Linked DNA regions of Drosophila melanogaster. The protein of the gene in region 3 purifies or fractionates together with the protein of the main gene of each other region. This does not show direct contact. Each region holds a gene or a part of one and is shown on either strand. Other genes may lie near its edges. The genes, in order: Pih1D1, spag, Wdr92 and rept.

Evidence for each region.
Region 1: the proteins of Wdr92 (region 3) and Pih1D1 purify together in Drosophila melanogaster (affinity purification with western blotting; one study listed by BioGRID). This does not show direct contact.
Region 2: the proteins of Wdr92 (region 3) and spag purify together in Drosophila melanogaster (affinity purification with western blotting; one study listed by BioGRID). This does not show direct contact.
Region 4: the proteins of Wdr92 (region 3) and rept purify together in Drosophila melanogaster (affinity purification with western blotting, with the first as the bait; one study listed by BioGRID). This does not show direct contact.

What each region holds. Positions count from the first base shown.
Region 1 is NT_033779.5:12,715,823-12,723,794, forward strand, and holds the start of Pih1D1 (PIH1 domain containing 1), read right to left. Parts: upstream 6,022-7,972; 5' UTR 5,900-6,021; coding exon 5,831-5,899; intron 5,741-5,830; coding exon 5,629-5,740; intron 3,419-5,628; exon of another isoform or gene 3,223-3,418; intron 2,235-3,222; coding exon 72-2,234; intron 1-71. Other genes in the region: MRP (Multidrug-Resistance like protein 1), read left to right, coding at 6,609-6,662, 6,737-7,972.
Region 2 is NT_033778.4:24,157,763-24,162,038, reverse strand, and holds spag (spaghetti), read right to left. Parts: upstream 2,656-4,276; 5' UTR 2,569-2,655; coding exon 2,413-2,568; intron 2,360-2,412; coding exon 2,082-2,359; intron 2,023-2,081; coding exon 1,814-2,022; intron 1,752-1,813; coding exon 1,168-1,751; intron 1,111-1,167; coding exon 825-1,110; intron 761-824; coding exon 669-760; 3' UTR 536-668; downstream 1-535. Other genes in the region: DnaJ-60 (DnaJ-like-60), read left to right, coding at 2,851-2,894, 2,954-3,065, 3,119-3,447, 3,509-3,677; CG42568 (uncharacterized protein), read left to right, coding at 3,926-4,258.
Region 3 is NT_037436.4:17,906,523-17,910,209, reverse strand, and holds Wdr92 (WD repeat domain 92), read right to left. Parts: upstream 2,068-3,687; 5' UTR 1,957-2,067; coding exon 1,682-1,956; intron 1,626-1,681; coding exon 773-1,625; 3' UTR 527-772; downstream 1-526. Other genes in the region: CG5290 (uncharacterized protein), read left to right, coding at 1-461.
Region 4 is NT_037436.4:19,253,372-19,257,624, reverse strand, and holds rept (reptin), read right to left. Parts: upstream 2,286-4,253; 5' UTR 2,111-2,285; coding exon 665-2,110; 3' UTR 514-664; downstream 1-513. Other genes in the region: mRpL21 (mitochondrial ribosomal protein L21), read left to right, coding at 2,646-2,715, 2,792-3,327. UniProt on the Drosophila melanogaster protein: Acts as a transcriptional coactivator in Wg signaling caused by altered arm signaling. Pont and rept interfere antagonistically with nuclear arm signaling function, and are required to enhance or reduce arm activity, respectively.

The DNA.
Region 1 (7,972 bases), on a different chromosome or scaffold from region 3:
CTATAAGCTAGCTTGTAATTGGTTTGTATCAAATTTTTAATTTATTAAGAATTCAAAAGTTTATCCCTTACCAGCGAGCGGTTTCGCCATGGCCGCGTTGATCTTGGTTGCCTGTAGTTTCGGTTTGATTACCGACTGACCAGGTTTGGATGCACCAGGATTGGTGTTCATAGGTTTGTTTGGTTGCGGTGCACGATTGTCTTGTGGAACCGCCGACTTCTTGACCATTTTGTTTGGAATATCAGGATTTAGATTTCGAGTTTGAGATGTGGTTGACTTGGATCTGGGTTGATTAGGAGTCCCAGCATTGATGCGATCTGGCCCCTTGCCAGGATTTAAATTTTTATTGATTCTACGATTTAAATTAGTTCCATCTTGTATGGGACCCCCAGAATGGGCCACACTTGGAGCAGCTTCATCAGCATTTGGTAGGCGGCTTCGTCTGTTTTGATTGGGACCCATGGGTCTGTTAGAGCTCGTATCGCGGCAACGATTTCCAGAACCCGATCCACGGAGAATAGTGTTTGGATAGTTCGGTGGAAAATTAGGGTTATTTGAGCCTTGGAATGTGTCATCCTCCCTTCGGGGAAAGCGTACGGTGTCACCGCCACGCGAATAGTTGTTTCGCTGATTGAAGTTGTCGTTTAAGTTGCGTCGATCGAGTTCTGGATCAAACTGGCGCCTAATGCCCTCAAAGTTACGATCGTTGCGATTGCGTCCATATGAATTACGATCATCGATGTTATGATCTTGGATGTAGTGTTGATTACCCCTTGAGTGGTAACCCTCATACTGATCATCATTCATAAGTGTATCATTTGTGTCATCGATGAAATCGGCATCATCTTCAAGAAATTCGCGTTCATCGGGTATATAGTCGTCTATATCATGGTGTTCTAGATCTAGATCCTCTTCTTCGTCAGTCCAGTCGGTGCGACGTAGTATTATTTGATTGTCATTCACAATACGCTGATAATTGTGCCTCTTTTGGGGTCCACGGTTTCCAACCTGGTCAGCGTTCACATTACGTGGATATGGTGGTTGTTTTGGATGCGCTTCAGGCGAACGGAATCGATCTCTTGGCAGCTGAATGCCGTCATCGCTTATAGCATTACGATCCAAGTTGGGTTGCTGATTCGAAACGAAGTTCTGATTACCAGGCCTGCGATTGTTGTTTACTTGGGAATGATCATTGTTTGGCATCTGAACACGATAGTTGATCTGGTGATTTGGTCCTTGAAAACGTTGGTTATTAAAGTTTGGGTTCTCGTCAAAAGTTTTGCGATTGAATTGTGCATTCGCATTACGATTGTTATGGTTATGTCCTTGAGGGAATGCTTGGTTGTTAACATTACGAGTATTGCGATTGAATTCATCATTGACTGCATTACGATTGTGATTAAATTCCTGCTCGTTATCATTTCGGATATTACGATTGAATTCATGCGGATAGGCATTACGATTATTGCGATTGAAATCCTGTGGATTTTGATTTCTATTGGGACGATTGAAATCCTGGGGGTTTTGATTTCTATTAGATCGATTGAAATCCTGTGGATTTTGATTTCTATTGGAACGATTGAAATCCTGTGGATTTTGGTTTCTATTGGGACGATTGAAATCCTGTGGATTTTGATTTCTATTGGGACGATTGAAATCCTGTGGATTGGGACGTGAACCCTCATTTCGGTTGAAATTGCGATTATTTTGATTGAATTCACTTCTGTCCATATTTCGATTATTTCGATTAAAGTCCTGCGCATTTGCATAACGATTGCGATTGAACTCAGCAGGATTCATGCCAGGATTATTGCGATTTACGGGTCCACAATTCCTATTGATTGGCTCCCGTTGTTCCACAACTCCGCGATTGTTGTTTGGGAAATTTTCCTCTCTCTGACGATTCCTAGAACGCGATCGATCCTTATTAGCCGGTGAGTTATTCATCCTGGCGCTGTGCCAATCAATGTTCCGCGGCGGCGACGGAGTGCGTGGCCGCGACTCGACGTCGTCGTGGCTAGCCACCGCTTCCTCGATGGCTTGGAGCACCTCCTTGTCCACCACATCCTGGTGACTGTCGCCCAGCTCGACGCTGAGGCGGAACCTCTGGCGCTGGAAATGGCGCAGGTTGAACTTGGGCACATTGAAGGTGCGCTGCGCCAAGGCGTTGGCCAACACCCGACTGGCGCCCAGGTCACGGAGAAATTGGCGCCGATTGTCCAGCTCGCTGTTGGCTATTTTCATGGTACCACATATGAAATTTAAAATTTAAAAAAGCAGACACGTTTTAGGTTAGAGCTATGTGGTCACGTTTAGCAAACCAATTCCAATCTAATCTACTCATGACGACAATGCTCACTGAAAATATGCATACAAATTTTAGTTTAAATCTATAATAGATTTGCTTTGTTTTGCATTTCTTCCCACCCTTTAATTGCTTTAACAAATTGTACAACACAAAAAAAAATGATAATTTCAATTGCATTACTACTTGATTGCCTTTTCAGTCGTTATCAAAATGCTGACTAAGTTTGATGTTTGATTTTTTGTCAATCTATAAACACTAAGCACTGCCACTATCTCATATTTTAAATTAAACATCTAAATTGATTAGATTAGAAATTCTATCACAGAATTCTATTCTATTGGTGTGTACTTTCGAAATGCATAGCAGCAAATCCTGTAGTTGTAGTTGTTAAGAAACTACTCAGTAATTATACATTTATGGCATCAAACACACAATAAACTGATAATCAATAGGTATGGTCATGCTTATACCAAAATCGTGAAGAATTCGCAACCAAACACCCATTAAATGCTCTTAATTGTATGACTACTGTTGATATCGTTATCATTTCGGCCCACTTTTGTTGCTCTTGCGACAACAAAACGTTTAAGAGTCGCGTCGTGTGTCCATTTCGGTTCAGAATAATTTCACCAGAGCAGGAAAATATGTTTAAATCGGCACTTAAAATCAGGAAAGAGAGTCGGTATCTTTCAGCTGGGTTTTATTCTGGACAAACTTGGCATTATTGGAGAGTCGGGTGCTTTGATGGCAGGGGGTTTTAATTGATCGGGCGGCCACCAGGCAGTCAGCGCCACAAAAAGAGCCAAGTTAAACGCTCTCCGAGGTGGCGCTATTATCTCATTTTTGTTGTTTTTTTTTTGAGCACGGAAAGCGCGGAAAACAAATAAGTTTGTTCGCAGCGCTCGCTTCGAATTCAGTTTGCCTTTTTGCTCGTAACGAGCCGGTTGTCCGTCGATTTTGAAGTGCTCCGCCGACGCTGCCCTCCATCCAAATCCAAATAGCGATCCGACCTCAACCGCTACGGCTCGTTTTGTTTCGATTCGATTCTATTCACTCCGATCCCCCACAACCGATTCGTTTGAATCGCAGCGAGTTTTTTTCTACGTAGAGGTAATTATAAGTGACATTTCAGTCGCATCGATACCGCCAACAACAACCACCGCCGTCCATTTTTGATACCCTTGTTGATATGTGGTTGTTGGATTCCGCCAAAGCGGAACAAGTGTGCCAGTGTGCGTTCGTATCTATGTGTTGTGTATCTATCTCTGTGTGTCCACATTCTTTGCCTGAAATTGTGAAATTTCCGAAAGGCTCCAGAATATCCCGCGCAAACATTTCTCAGCAAACGAAAGAAATACGAAAAAAAAAAAAAAGAACTGACGAGAAATCGATGATTCACATTCAAAGTAGTTTGATATGGTTAAGTGTTTTGTCATGCTCGCAGCTCGATTATTTAATTGATAACAGAAAAAGTGTAAAAATTGTGGTGCGCAAGGTTGTCGTACTGCTGTTCGTACGAACAAATTTGAAGTTAATTGCCTCGTGGGTTCCACTGACGTCACAGGCCTTGAAAGATGGCCTACGATCTGTGGGTTCGACAGCTTCTCGCCCAGTCCGATGGTAATCAAGCTCCAAGGACTCAGAATCAGCAGCAAGTGGAGCAAACAAGTGTGCGATTAGGAGCAATATAGGGTTTACGATGTGCAATTCATAACTGGAGCAACGACAAACACAATGGAAGAGTCTAGTAGGGGGACAGCAACAGGCAGCACACACGATAAGGTTCAGCTGTGGGGTCCCCGATAAGGAGCTGCTCGTATAATCATTCTCGCTATGTGGAAGTTGTTTTCTCCAGAGTTTGCACACTTGGCTAAATGCAGCCAGTCAGCCTTATCTCAGCTTTTTCCCTATTAATAAAAGTCATCAAGTGTCGAGTGTCGTTGATATTCTGTAAATAAATCACTCTTCTTTGGCGGTGTAAACAATTTGTGCCGGCTGGCATGATCTGATCCAGAACAAACAAACCGTGTGTGTCAGTCAGGTTGTGAAGAGAGTGGCGTTTTTTGCTGAGAAAATTGTCAGGTTTTCTCCTTGATTTTATGGTGCAGCCAAGAGATCTCCATGCCATTTTGCTTAGCATCTCATCGTGAGTCGACGTTTTTGTTTTTAAAGAGAAATTTCACTTGGGTGTAAAGGCAAAACACACACATTTCGTACAATTGAAATATTAGGTTTTGTAAGGGGGTTTTTTCTGCCGATTGTTTTGTGCTTATATAATCGCTGCGGGAACAGGTTTCGCCGTTAATTATATCGAACTGAAAATACTCGTTTCAGATGTGTTAGAATTTTATCTAAAGTCAAATGGCTTAAAACACATGCGTGTACGGGGCAAACAAGTTTTTGGCGCCCATAAAATGTGACTAGCCCAATACCTTTTATGAGCTCCGTTCAAGATTCGCTTAAAGTTTCTCATTCCTTCTTTTTAGTTGTGTGTATCTCTGTGTAAATTAGTTCTTCTTCGAGGCGGGGAAACACGTTTTAGTCGCTCATTTGTCATTGGCATTGTACAATCTCGCTGGACTATAAACTATCGTTTCAAGTGGGCGCGATTAGACCTTCCTCCAAGTGGCCCTGGACATGTAAACACTTAACTGCCGTAGCGCACAATAACGACGGCTAGATTACAAAACTTCGTACTAACTACCCGCTCAACCCTCTTTTTGTTTCAATACGATAGATAGTTTGTCAAATAATAGTGTGCATAGGAATTAAACTGATTTGTTTGGATAATTGATTTTTTGCCTTTGTTTTGACGAATTATCCAATAGTTAAGTGCAAAATACTAATTAATAACCATTAAAAGATTGGAAATTTGAATATACAAAAAGTGTGCACAAACTATAGTTAACTTACGGAATTAATTAAAAAATTTAGAGCAATTGATTCAATTTTAAATACAAGTAATTCGGATATGTTTTCAATATTCGTAATTGGTTTTTAAAGTCTTGTCGAAGATTCGTTAGGATGGGTTTTTCTGTCCTATGACGTGTTCCATTCGCGTGCGTTTGTTCGCCTTATCGCGGGTTCACTGTACCACCCCGAGCGATTACGCGCAATCGACGTCGACGTGAGATGTTTATCAGGTTGACATGGTTCCGCGCTCGCAGAGATTACTGTGCACACACAAGTGCTAAGTAGACCATAAACCCAGAGTCATGCCTACTACTAGCTGGCTGTAATCTCCGGTTAGATTCTCCGCGCCACCGGCAGCGATTGCTGTGCCATGTGAAGCTCCGGCTGTTGCAATGGACGCCACTTACCTGCGGTCGGCTGGACAATCAGCGAGTCTCGCGGCGGCGGTTTCTGCTGCGGGCCGCTGCCCTCCGGATCGGCGCCTCCAAAGTACTGGTTAATATTGTCCTCAAACTCGTTCTGCATTTAGAAAATGAAAAAAAAAAAAAACAAGTTCATCTTTAGTGGCGCAGATAGTTCCTCACATCGAATTTCTCAAGTTTTGCTTACCCGCACAAAGCGCAGGTTCTGGTCGCGAAAATTGTCGTTGCCCTCAATGAAATTGGAACGACGCGACATTTTGCTGCACGATTTCAATTGCCAGTTACGAGTTAATCCAATGCAAATGCTATTTTTGCGCTGAGCGACGAGCGAAAAACGCAAATTTTATTTGCCAGAATGGAGCTGTCAACTCGATTGAAATGAAAACTAATGTGACAGTGTGAACGCCGGTGGAAAAACATTTAATGCCATGCGATAGGCTAAAAATACTAGATAGGCGTTTTCCCTGTACAGGGTGCTCATTAATAAAAAGTAAATGACAAGAATTTTCGAGAATAATTGCTATGAATTTCTATATGAAACTTTAAAAGCTTAATCCAAATTTAAGAAATTCATTTGTATTTTTGCTGTTGCAAATGCAATTGATTTCTACTTGCTTCTACTAAGTTTTCCAAGCAAATGTATTTTAATAATTTATGTACAAAAATTACAAGTTTCACTTAAATCAATATAAACAATTAAAATAACACGCAGTGCAGAATTATACACTCATTTTCCATCCGACACCCACTGTGCCCGCGAAATACCAGAAAAATACTAGCAATCAACTTCCCACTGTCACGATTAGCGGTTGTTGTAGTTGTGCGGCTTGGGAAGGAACAGCTGTTGGCCCGAAAATATAGATCCGTTTATTTCCTTGCCGCTTTACAGTTACCACATCGCCCGATATAGCATACGCATATAGCCCAATTGCACGTGGAGGAGGTTGCCGAGCAGTCGAGTAACCATGGCGGATGACACTAGTTCGCCGATGGACAGATTCTGCGGATCCACGTTCTGGGTGAGTGCATCAGCAGTGGTGTTCAATCCGAATGCATAGTGTAAATGTATGGTTTCCGTGTGTCCAACGAACAGAACGCAACAGAGACATGGTATACCAACGATCCGGACTTTACGCCCTGCTTTGAGCAAACGGCGCTGGTCTGGACACCCTGCGCCTTCTACTGGGCGTTCGTGATCTTTGACTTTTACTACCTGAAGGCGAGTTTGGACAGGAATATACCGTGGAACAAGCTGAACGTGAGCAAAGCTCTGGTGAATCTGGGTCTGCTGGTAATCACTGCCCTGGACCTAATTATGGCGCTGGTCAAGAAGGGCGGCGACTCTGAGCTGCCGCTCTACGACCTGGATGTTTGGGGTCCCATCATCAAGTTCGCCACCTTCCTGTTGCTCTTCATATTCATCCCGCTGAATCGAAAGTATGGCGTGCAGACCACGGGATGTCAGTTCATCTTCTGGTTCCTGCTCACTGTGCTGTCGATTCCCCGCTGCCGCACTGAAGTTCGACTGGACGCGGAGCGCCAGAAGATTCTGAATTCGCAACAGCCATCCGAGCAGGACTTTTCCTGGGAGGAGTATCAGTTCGTTAGCTTCTTTATCTTCTTCACCTTCACCAGCATTATGCTGATCCTGAACTGCTTCGCGGACGGAATGCCCAGACAAACCAAGTACCAGAGGGGTGAGAACGAGATTCCCGAACTGTCAGCCAGTTTCCTTTCCCGCATCACCTATCAGTGGTTCGACAAAATGGCCCTCAAGGGCTATCGCAACCCGCTGGAGGAGAAGGATCTGTGGGACCTGAGGCCGCAGGACAGCTGCTCCGAGGTCATGCCCATCTTCGCCCACCACTGGAACCAGAACGTGCGCAAGAACTACAAGAACAAGGCGCGCGTAGAACCCAAGGCGCAGTTTAGCAATGGCAACGTGACCTTTGAGAATCCCCACGGTGAGAAGAATGGCCGCAAGAAGGGCATGGCCAGTATTATGCCGCCAATTTACAAGTCCTTCGGAGGCGTCTTTCTGTTCGGCGCCCTAATGAAGCTGTTCACCGACACCCTGACATTTGCCCAGCCCCAAGTCCTGAGTTTGATCATCAGCTTCGTCGAGGCCCAAGATGCCGAGCCCGAATGGAAGGGTATCTTATACGCTGTCCTGCTTTTCGTTTTGGCCGCTGCACAGACCTTTATTCTGGGGCAATATTTCCACCGAATGTTCATTGTGGGCCTGCGAATCAGGACAGCTTTGATCAATGCCATCTACCGCAAGGCCCTGCGCATTTCGAACTCCACCAAAAAGGAGTCCACCGTGGGC
Region 2 (4,276 bases), on a different chromosome or scaffold from region 3:
AAATTAAATTATAACTAGCGGCGGCACAATGGGCTAAAGTAAAACCCGGCCCCTGTGCTTAGTGCACCAGCTCTCACGCAATTAGTGGGCCGCCCGGGTGCCTCGGTGGTGCGCGGTTCTCGGCGAGATGCCCCTCCTGCTTTGGGGGCCCCTCCTGGTGCTCCTGGCTGTGGTTTCGCTGTAATGATATGTGCACGGATCGGATAAGCCGACTGATCATCAGCGCTTCCAACTTAACGTCGCTTAATGGAGTTGTTGTTCTTGCTGGAAGGCCCATTTTAGGTGGCTTCGCAGATTGAATTAATGCGCTGATTTATGTAAATTACACTAATTCGTATTACTCAATTGGTTATTCAATATTCATGGTCTGGTCGGGCAAGAACGGTTTGTTTGCTCAAATGGTCTTCTGCATATGGAATTTTCGGCTTATACTAGGCTAAAAAACATGAGTCACTTTGAGATATTCCCAGCATGTGTAACTAGTGAGCATCTTAGCGTATCTAATAAACGCTGAACAAAACACATTCAATCATTCGCATTCTGTGTAACGTTTTGGGATCCTATCTACAAATCCTCTTTATATTTTAAACATTTTTGTTGTTTTAGTTGATTTTGGAGCTAACAATTTGAAGCAACATAAGTACATTTTAACATAAAACATTGGGTGTTTAGGCTACTCCGTATTCCTTGAAAAGGTTGTCCAGCACAGCCGGATTCTTGCTGGGCCAGTTCTTGATGGCGTTGAGGATAGACGAAACCACTGTGAAAAGGGGAAAGTACATGAAATGCAAACGAAATTATGCAAGAAAAGTTTTGTCACCTACTTTTCTTCTCCTCTGCGGACATGAGCATGGCCAAAATGGTGAATTCGTCATTTTTGCTGATCTCCAGCAAGACAGCTGCTGTGTTTGGCTCCTTATTTGGTACAAAGAAGTCGTGGATGGTGCGCAGCAGGTCGGCAAACGTGTCCGAATCGAAGCCTGCTCCCAGGATCTTACACAGATTCGGGACTTCAATGGACTTTAGGTATTGGTACTTCTGCGGACCACTCAGCTCCTTCCAGGTCACATGGAACTGTGCTGTGCTCGTGGGTGCGGGCGGTAAGAAGCGCTAAATCATAGAGAATTGGTTTAATAATAATTCAGCTTTGATCTTAAGCGAACCTACCTCTATTGGACTGGGTGACATTGCGTTGTTGCTCGAAGCTTGTTCAATTTTTTCAGTTTGCACGGTATTGACTTCTGGGCTGCGTTCTATTGTGGTCTTTGGTGGAGAAACTTGAGTCTGAACCTTGGGGACCTCGACAGCCGTTTTTTTGGGTGCACTTGGCTTGGCCTCATTATCGGATTCAGGCACAATCTTGGTATCCTTGCGTGTTTCTGTTTCTTTGGGGGTTTCCACAGCTGGAGCTACTTTAACCGCAGTCTGTTTGGTAGGCTTGACTTCTTTGGAGGTCTTAGCAATGGTCTCAGCTTTGGGTGGACCTGATGTGTCTGGCATTGGCGTCGGCTTTGGATTTGTTTTTTTGACCTCTTCGATTATGCCGCAGTTACTATTAAATATCTTATCTATGTCCTCATCCGAAATGCGTAGTTGGTTGCTATCATCGATGGTAGCACGAGGAGATACCACGTCTACAACGGGAACACTGCGCATTGCCTTCTTGGAGCGTTTATAAGCAGGCTTCTCGATTGGCAAGATCTCAATCATGCCAGGACGATCGGGTGTAAAGTTTGGCCCACTTTTGGTGGCTGTAAGGATGCCAATGAAAAGCCTTAAAATATGCTTACTAGGTAATCAAAATTATATTTACCAATCTTGCGCAGACGGTCGTTGATTCTGGCCAGGCTCCTCTTGGCCTCGATGTTCTTCGGCTCGATGGCCAGCACAGTGGTGCAATCCTTCAGGGCTTCCATGTTGTTGCCCAGGGACTCGTTGGCCTGCATTCGCCGGTAGTAAGCTTTCACGCAGAGCTTATCCAGCGCAATGGCGGCCTCGCAGTCCTCCACGCATTGATCAAAGCTGCAAGGATAAATATGCATGTAAGGAAGAAGTATCGAGAACATTCTAAACAGTCCTACCTCTCCTGTTTTAGGTAGCACAGTGCCCGGTTAATGTGGTAAATGGGATCGTGGGGATAGACGGCAATGGCAGTGGAGTAGGCCACGATGGCCTTCTCGTACTCCCCCTGCTTGACATAGGTGTTTCCACGGTCCTTGATGTCGTTGGCCTTCTTGTACTGCTGGGCCACAGGATCCACTGGCAAGTCCTGTTTCTCCGTGGGTGAGCTGGCCGCCGAGGAGGATGGGCTCTCCTTCCGCGACTTGTCTGTCTGGACATGACTGCGCACTGGCAGATCCTGCATTGAAAGTGTGAGCTTTACTTGTTAATACCAAAGAATTTAAAGCTAACCTTATTGGCGGCAGAAAGCGGCGACTTCTGGAGCTCTTTCTCCTTGTTTTTAATGTCTTGCTCCCAGGAGTACAAGTCCTTCACGGAGTTCTCGTACTCCCGCGCGTTCTGGCGCACCTGGCGCTGCAGTTCGAAGGCTTTTTCCTGTGCACTCATATTGATTTGCCTTGTCAAGTGGCTAAAGAAATATTAAATGTTTGTTATTTCTGTTGCTAGCGCTCCGACAGTCTGGCAGCACTGCTCGCTGTCGATAGTTCAACTGAGTTGCTGTTTCATCGAACAGAGCTGCCAACTCTATTTTTGTAGCTGGCCAGCCAGGATTGCCAGAGTAAGGCCCTCAAATCAGCTGTTTTGTGTTTTGATTTTATTTTGAAAGTCCTAGTTTAAAATTATGCTTTCTCCGACAGATCAGCACAAATAATACTAATAAAGCTCACAATGCTAAGGTTGTGCCTTCCAACTCGAGCTGGATATGTGCGTAAGTAAGGACTTTACGTCTATAAAACTTGTTATGTAAAGTAAATGTTTGCCTATTGCGCAGTTTCTCGAACGACAAACCAAGAAAACCCGAAACACACTATGAAGTTTTGAATATTCGCAATGATTGCAGCACCCGTGAAGTCCGTAATGCCTTTGTCCAGCTCTCCAAATTGGTAAGTAACTCCAAGATTCCAAAGGAGCCTCCTAAACCCTGCCCTTTCCACAGTACCACCCAGATGTTAAGAGCAATGCTGCGTGTCCGGAGCGCACAGCCCGATTTGTTCAGATCTCCGAGGCGTACAAGACCCTGATAAAGCCGGAGCGGAGGAGAGACTACGATGACAGCCTGCTGTGGCAGCCATCGCGCTCGGACCGCAGTCCCGTTGGCGAGACGGTCAATCCCGGCCAGGCGTGGGATGTGAGGCCCAACTACGATCCCAATCCAGGACCGTACTATGGCATCCGTGGTCTGAAGAGGGTCTCCAACTGGCAGGTGGCCGTGGTTCTGATGGCCCTAGGCTTCGTCGGGGCACTCTTTGGCTTCACCTCCGTCAGGTTAATGATTATGAACCAGAGAATTTAAGTAGTCACACTGAACTTTCACCATCCCCAACAGGTCGTCCTTTAAACTGAGTCGCCAGATCCAGGACGAAATCTCAGCAGAGGCTAATTCCCATCATGCCGCCGTTGTGGCCGATGCCCAGAAGTACGGCAACGAGGAGCAAGTGCGTCGTATGGTGGACCGTATGTCGCGGAGTCCTTTCAACCAGTCTTCGGCTAAGTAATCCCATTTCCCCATTTCCTTTGGTCAAATTAAACGTGAAAGCATATAGCTATTTTTGAATATTTTGTTTTGGTTCAAGGCAAAGCAAACTCAAGAGCGATTGCTTAAGCGCCAGTGTGTTTTGCCAAAATTAAACAATTTCGTCGGCCTTCGTAGGCGATTGAGCAAACTGTGCAAACAACCAGGGCGACTACTTAAGCACTCCGGCCGCATCCATCGAAGCATATTAAAAGCAATCCTACTACCAACATGAAGTCAACTATTCAAATCGGCACCCTGTGCATCGTGGTGCTCGTGATCTGCTGCCTGGACTTCTCCAGTTCACAGAACTCCTCCTCCACTTCCACCAGTCCCACCTACAGCTCGTCCAGCACGCCCAAGAAAGTGTACCTGTCCAACTTGACGTACTCGATTGTGAGGAAGATCCGTGTGGGCACCACCACCGCCAGCAGCACCAGCCGTAGTTCCAGGACCAGGAGCAACCGGAAACTGAACGCCAAGAAGACCCAGGCCAAACGGAGCCAGGCCAAGCGCTCCGGCAAGAACAGGAAGTCGAACTCCCGCCGTGCCAGCAGGGGCTAAGTTGTTGTCCAGTCGGTT
Region 3 (3,687 bases):
CCGGCTCAAGTGCTCTGATCAAAAGACTCATAAAGCTTCTGGGACAGCAGAGCATTCAACATGGTAACGAGCCTCTTGTGTGGGAACTGGCCGCCTTGGTGGCCCAAACGCCACTGAAGAAGGCCGAGAAACTGGTAAAATCGTATCGTGCGTACACACCGAAGCATTTGGGCTGGGAAACCAAGTCGGAGCACGCTTTAAAAGCCCTAGATCTTTGTTTAGAGGTCTGCGATCTCTCAGTGGCGGCCATCACAGAGCACATTCAAGAGGAAAGTGAGGTAATGATTACCTCTCAACTAAATTCAGCCAGACTGGCGGGAACATCTTGTCTGAATGCTTTGAAGAGAGCCATAAATGTGGATGTATCGGCAGAACAGACTGCAAAAGTGGAGCAGCTGGAAAAACGCATCGAAGACCTGACAAAAATTGTCCAGGAACGAATGAATGCGTCTCGATCTTAGTTATACACTATATAAGGTTTTATACTATTTTGTAATTGCAAAACAAATAAAAAGAGTCATTTTTTATTGTACATGAAATAGTTTATTGCTGATATATATTTGTAAGCTAGTTTTGATTTGTAATATAATTCAGCTCAAGCAGATTATCCAGTTTTTCTGATTTTAAAAGCTATTGCGCATTAAGGATTTATTGTCTAGCAATAGGTGCAATGAAAGTGTATTCATAAAAATATAAACCTATGAATTAACCCATCATCCAATATCACAAGTATGAAGCATTTCTTTAATGGGTTTCTTTTGATGTCCACCATCTAAAAAGTGTTTAGTTTGGTGGTAATTAAAACGCGCACGCTTTGATCGAATGCTCCACAGACGGCTAGGCCCAGTTTGTCTGGATGCCAGTCAAAGCAGTGAACCGGCTGAGAGCTCAAAGTGGCTGCACTAAGCATATTAAGGGCTCCAGCAACTCCCAACTTGTTTCCATCAGAGTCATCAATGACCCTCCTGTCGGGATACTCGTACTGCCACAGGCGAATGGAACCAGTTCCGCCGCCCGTGAGAAAGAGATCCCGATTCTGGGGCAGATGACGAACTACCCAAACGGTGGCTTTGGGTCCGCTGATCACGCCATTTGTTCCCACGCTGCGTCCGGCGTTGCGTTCCTCCACGTAACTAAATCCCTTGGTCGGATGTTGGGTTCTCATATCGAAGACAAGGAGACCGCCCTCCAAAGTGGTGACCGCTAGCTTGTTCATGGGAATGTCCCGGCGATCGAACTCCAGTCCACAGATACCATTCTTCATGGTGGCCTCCCAGCGTACGGAAAGGGATCGCAAATCGAATATCTTTAGATCTCCATTATCATAGCCGGCGGCAACGATGCGCTCCTCAGCGTTGTAGGTATTTCCAAAGGCCACGGCCCAGCAGTCCCGGCGGCCACTGCTGTTGTTAACGCCATCGCCCATTTGCGGCGGCGGCGACATGTCCACCACAGGAGCCTGCCCCTGGCGGATATCCCAGACTTTAACGGCGCCGTCACGACTTCCAGTAACGATTTCCGGAGCACCGCAATCGATTTGTGTGCCGCCAATCGCGTCGATGGTGTTGATGATGCCGTTGTGGGCCTTTACATTGTAGACCGGAAGGTCCGGCTGCTCCATATCCCTGCAAAGAACACATGTCAGAGAAGCATCTAATGACTTAAGCGGGATTATGCTTACAGAACTTGCAGCCTGCCCTCGAAATCTCCGATGGCCATGTGGCGGTTCCTGAGCGAAGCTGCTCCGAAGGTGCCGCATTTGAAGGCAACCTTCTTCTCTACGGACTTCACTTTCACCAGCTTATCCTGGTTGAGTTCGTAGATGTCCATGATTCCGTGCCCGTTGGCCTTGGAGCCCAGAATCACAAACTTGGCCGAAAGGGGCACCCATTTCGTATCGTACACCGTGTAGTTGAGTGCCTCGTGGAGGTGCTCAATAAGCTGGGGCTTGTCCATTTCAACGATCTATATTTCCGTCTCAACTTTATGCTAATATTCCAAAAGCGGCCGGTGAAAACTTAAGGATTTATCAAAAACAAGTTGTTTTGTTGTCATGGCTATCTCTTCCTCTTTTTCAGTGTAGCCGTACATGCAGCGCCTGAAATATACCAATCAGCTGACGGAAATATACCAAATCTAATTTTTAAATAGATAAATTATAACATATCCACTAAAATGCAATATTTAAAAAAATAATAACGCTTAACGTTTGTAAAAAGTATATCCCATTACTATAGTTCACATTTTGTACTCATATAATCAAATAATTTAAAATTTACGAAATAATGTGTGTGTACGATAGTTATGCCGATACATTAGAAGGCATCGGGAACAGCTGTTAATGGTGGTAAGCTTAAAAAGCTTTCGCCACTCTGTGAGTTGAATACTTTTTTCTTCAGTTTTACTGGGTCAGTCGGACGCTGTTTTGCTTCTGTCGCGGATTTTCCACATATTTAGTTTTTGGCGCGAGCATCTTTTTTTGGCGTTCGACCCCCCAATAGCAACAACAACAGCAACAGCAGCAACAACTTCATATATAACGACAAAGAAACACTTTTACGTGTGTCGCAAGCGACGCTTTTCTGCATTAAAAAAAAAACGATGAGATATTAAACGTGCGGGGTTAAATAAGCGAAAATAAATATTATTGAAATAACAAAGCGCAGCTTATAGCGTTGGCTATTAATTTGCGGGCCTTTTAGCCGGTTTTATATAAGTGATAATCGTTTTGGCAGAACAAAAACTCGCTAAAGAGTGCTCAAAGTTTAGCATATTTGCGATGCATGCGCCAGAAAAGTGTTAATCAATTTTTTATTGGCAACAAGTGATACAACAATAACAAAGGCGCTATCAAAAGTTGAAGGTGCCAACAAATCGACGGCAGTATAGACGACTACAAGAACAACAACTACAGCAACAGCTGTACTCGTTGGCAACCGAATTGAGTGCCAACTAAAAATTAATGTAGTTTCTCAAAGGTAAAAGCCACAAAGATTCTTCCATTCTCGGCATGTTTTCACATTCATTTGTATTGCCCAACATTTCCTTACTTCCGCCGTTGCCTTTCGATTTATCGTCAATTTTGGGGACAATCACGTTAATTGTGTACTTTTCAGCTTTTTCATTGGCTTTATTGTTTCTGTGTGCCCTCTCTGTTGTTTTCGGTGCACTTGCACTTGACACACACTCATAGTGTATAATATTTAGTATATAAGCGTTATAGTACATCATGTATATAGTACATATGTTTATGTCATTCTTCCGTTTTGGCGACTTTTTGCCAACCTGTCGCATCGCCCGTTCGGAATACCCTATACTTATTGGGATTTGTTGATAAGCCCACCACGCTGGGGAGAACAAATAGTGAATGGAAACTAATTGGTTTTTTGGTCTGAAAAAAAAAAAAAAGTAAATATTATGCAACACGTAAAGTGCACAATTATAAAGGCAATTATTTCTACAAAAATTCCCCTTAACAGTCGACTTGGTCTTTTTGTAAAAATTATTGGTTATGAATACAGAACCAGATTTAAATAAATCTATAATTATATTTTCTTTCTGACAAATATAAAATTCTAGCTTTATACTTTCCCACAACGAAGCGAATAAAACTTGTGAATTACTTATCAATCAATCGGTAATTTACACAGATTATTTTTATACATTATCACTTATACGTGAACTGTA
Region 4 (4,253 bases), 1.3 Mb from region 3:
ACTATAACGATACACCAGGGTCTTTGAAAATCAAACTCAAATTTCATTTATTGAAAGGGGAGCAGCGCTCAAGGAGACTAACTAAGCCATAAAGACAGTTTTATACCAATGTAAAGATGATGCGACGATATATTTTGATATGCTCACGCTAAGTTTTAATGTCAGTAAATTGAAATGCGAAATAAATGCAATGAAATTATTTTTAGGTACAAGACGCGTGGCTGTTTTTCTAGTTATTTCCTAAGATAGCTCAAACTAGAAATTAGTGAGAATTGTAGTAGGAATCGAATAACATGCGCATTAAGTTCATTTCTGCGTTTTATTGATTATAATTATTATTTTGCAAGCTACTAAACGCAATTTTTAAGTTAATTATTGAAAAATTTGTACTATCTTGATTCCCTTGCTACAATGAGAAGAAAAATGATTTTATTTTTAGCCAATGCTGTATTTAACTACCCCAATTGGCCATTTGATATCCTTTTCCGAAATTATAAAACTTTGAAACCATATGCTGATAATGGTTTATTAATTACAATCGTTATAAAACCATGACCAAATTCGTAGGCATTTAATTTAATCATAGATACAAGGAAACTTATTTATTGATCATAAAATAGTCATGAGAATGTACTGGGGGGTTGCTGCGATGTCAGTTTAGACTCTAGTGCTCCATGGGCTGGGCATCTCCTCCGCCGCCCTCCACGCGACGCTTTGCCCCGCCTCCAGCGGCCGGGTCCCTTTCCACCTCCTCGGTGATCTCGCTGAACATGTAGTCATCCTGGTACTCCTTGAGGATCTTGCTCGAGCGATTCTCGTCCAGGAAGAGCGAGTAGACCTTCTTCACATCCTCGGTATTGACTTCGGTGGCCTTGCGGCGACGACAGACCAAGTTGGCTGTGGTAATCAGTTGGATGGCGTAGCGTAAACTGGTATCTGTGGCGATGCGTGTAAGAATGGTCAGGGCATCCGGGTGCATGATGCAGTCCTCCTCCTCGCAGCGAATCTTTAGGATCTCCTTAACCTCCTTCTCGGAATACGGTACAGTGCGTATGATGATCATGCGATCGAGTAGATCAATGGGTATGCCGTGCGGACTGCGATAGTTAGTGCCCCTAATACGAGTGATGCCGCGGTTGGTGGCCATCACCACCACCGGAGCCATGTCCGACTCCAGGGCGCGATTCAGGAAGGAGAAGCACTCAATGTCCAGCATGTGCACCTCGTCTATGAAGAGTACTCCCGGATTTATCTCAGCTTTGCCCTCCTCGCGCCACTCGAGAACCTTGTTGTTGATCTGATCGCGAACCTCCTGCTTGATCTCTCCAGTATCGCCGGAGAACAGGGCCAAGAACCCGTGGGTGCGACTATTGATAACATCGATCTCGTGTAGGGTCACAGTGTGCACCACCTCCTTGCGTTTTTGAAGCTCACCCTCGGGGCATTGGACGAATCTGGTCTGAGCGCCAGTGGCGTCGTAGTCCCTGGCTCTGGTGAAGCTGCGACCCAGCTTGTTGACCTTTCCGGACGCCTTGTCGATGGTGATCACATCGCCAGCCTGGATCTTCTCTTTCATGAAGCACTCGATGATCTTGTTGCCCAGATCGTAGTTGGTTTCCATCTCGGTGGTCTTGAGGGTGACCTTGCCCACCTTCTGTCCGGTACCCGAGGCGGGGCGTTCGATCTGGATCTCCACCACTTCGCCCTCGATGATCTCGGTTTCCTCCTTGATGCGAACGCCAATGCTCTTGCGCAGTGCCTGTGACAGAGCCTCGGTCTTGCTCATCTCCAGCGAGTATATCTCCGATCCGGACATGCTAGTGAATGGGGTCTCGGTGCCCAGAGCCTGCGCCATTCCCACAGCAATGGCCGTTTTGCCGGTACTAGGCTCCCCGGCCAATAGGATACATCTTCCGGCGATCTTGCCCTCGCGAACCATCTGCACCACAACGCCGGCGGCACGGCGCGCGTCCTTCTGGCCCACCATTCCCTGGGATACCAGACGAGCCTCCAGCACATCGTCCAGTCCCAATCCGCGGATATGCGAATGGGCGCCAATGCGCTCGATGCGAGTCACGTCGCGAACCTCGATTTTCTCGGTCTCGGCCATTTTGTGCTTTTGATTCTGTCTACTGTATCACTGGTCGGGAGTTGTACTCTTGTGCGATCTTTTCAGTGGCTTACTAGTTGTTTACTGGGCTTAAATAAGTTGCTAAGCATAAAATTCGTATATGAAATTACCGGCCTGCTTGGAGTAGTGTTGAAAGTTCGATGATTACACAGCACTGTTATGCGCAGCACATGCTGTCAGTGATGGCAGCGTGGGAGAACATTCGCTAGCGGCAGCTAGGTTTTACAAGTACACAAGCCGCTAAATATAATACGATTAAATTAAATGTAAAGGAAACCATTTTCCGAAATATCTGCAAGTGTGCGGTAACTTATTGTTATTTATTGAGTTGCTTCAAGCTTTAGTCGTACTAGCTATTACAAGCTATTTCTGAAAATGTAACAGGGATGTTAACGTGCGCATGCTAACACAGCTGTTCGAAAACGCGTTAGTGTTATTCACATTTTGCCTATCTGCCGACATTAAACCGATCCGATTTATTTATGTACTTTTGAGTTAAAAACAAAGCCAAACGATGTCCTTTCTAGCGCAAACTATGCGTCAAATGCTACGCCACGTGCCCAATCGCAGTTTGTTGACGGCAGGTAAGTGAATATTAAATAGCATCGATGTAAACAATGTGACATAACCAGGTCCCAATGAAATCCCATTCTTTTGTAGGTGCCATGCGTCCACTGAGCATATCGCCGGTAATTGGGCAGCAAAACAAGCCGGCGACGGAATCGGTGGATTTATCGGCCATAGCTAAGGATCAGCAGAAGGAGTGCCTGAGCATCTGCGAGCGCATCAACCGGCAGGTGCAAAAATCCGAGCAGGGACGACTCTTCGCGGTTGTCCACCTGTGCGGCAAGCAATTTAAAGTAACTCCAGGAGATATCATCCTGGTGGAGGGATACTGGCCGCCAACGATAGGCGACGAGATCAGCCTGGATAAGGTGCTCCTGGCCGGTGCCCGCGACTTCACGCTCGTGGGAAGGCCCATTTTGGAGCCCGGACTCATCTTGGTGAAGGCCACCGTCGTGGAGAAGACGCTCAGCCACACGAAGACGCACTTTAGGAAGAAGCGCAGGAAGCAGTACATGCGCATCAACTTCCAGAGATCTCCGCACACCATGGTCCGGATCAATTCAATTGAACTGGCTCGTCCAGTGGACGGGAATGGCGAGGGGGAGTCTTCCTCGAGGCGCTTGTTTTAGTTTAAAATGCTGTTGATCACGAAAAATAAACCAAGTTTTTGGAAGGTAATTAAGAAAACACAAACCACTTTGAACTGGAAGAGGATAACTTTATTCAGATGCTGATTTTGTATATTTTCTAAAACGGTTGAAACTTTTCTAGTGATATTTGTATATTTGCCCTTAATTCATTAATAATAAATGTCATAAAAATTCAATATTCTTAGGACTTTGTTACAATACAGATAATTAAGATAAAACCCATTTTGTAATTGATGAAATGTTATAAAGTTCTTGTTTTATCTAAGTCACCAAAATCAATTGTAAGCATCAGTTTGGTTTTAACTGCAGTCACTGATATCAGTGTTAACAGTACATATAGTTCTATAGTTCAGTATATTTTAAGCTCATATTAACTTTTAAAATATGGCTAGCTACAGTTTCTAAGTTTTGGCAGAATGTTCAGCAAGTTATCTAGCAATTTTAAAAACCAAGCAAATGTTTTACCAATTTTCATTCCTATTTTTGCCTCGTGGAATTTTGCAGATATTGCCCTTCTGCTGTTGCTTTTTGTCTTTCCATTAGAAATTCCACTTTCATCTTGATTCAATGACTCTGCCCGACAGTATTTACCCAAAACGGCAACCTAGTTTGGAATACGAGCTACCCAGCTCCCGACTCTTGCACCGCGACAAAGAAGAGGCGCCTGCTCTAATGAAGCAACCAGTAGAACCACTGCAATTTTAATGACAACCTTTTATCGCTCATGATGTTGTTGCCATCTTTCATTAAAAAAGACGTCGCTGCACCATCCAACCAAACTACCAAACTACCTAGCCAGGTCGGAACCACCCAACCAGGCAGCCCGACCACGATTTATAACCTATGGACATGGCTCACATGGGATGCCTGCTGTTTTCTTTATCAGCAGATGTAAGTTGCTCCCG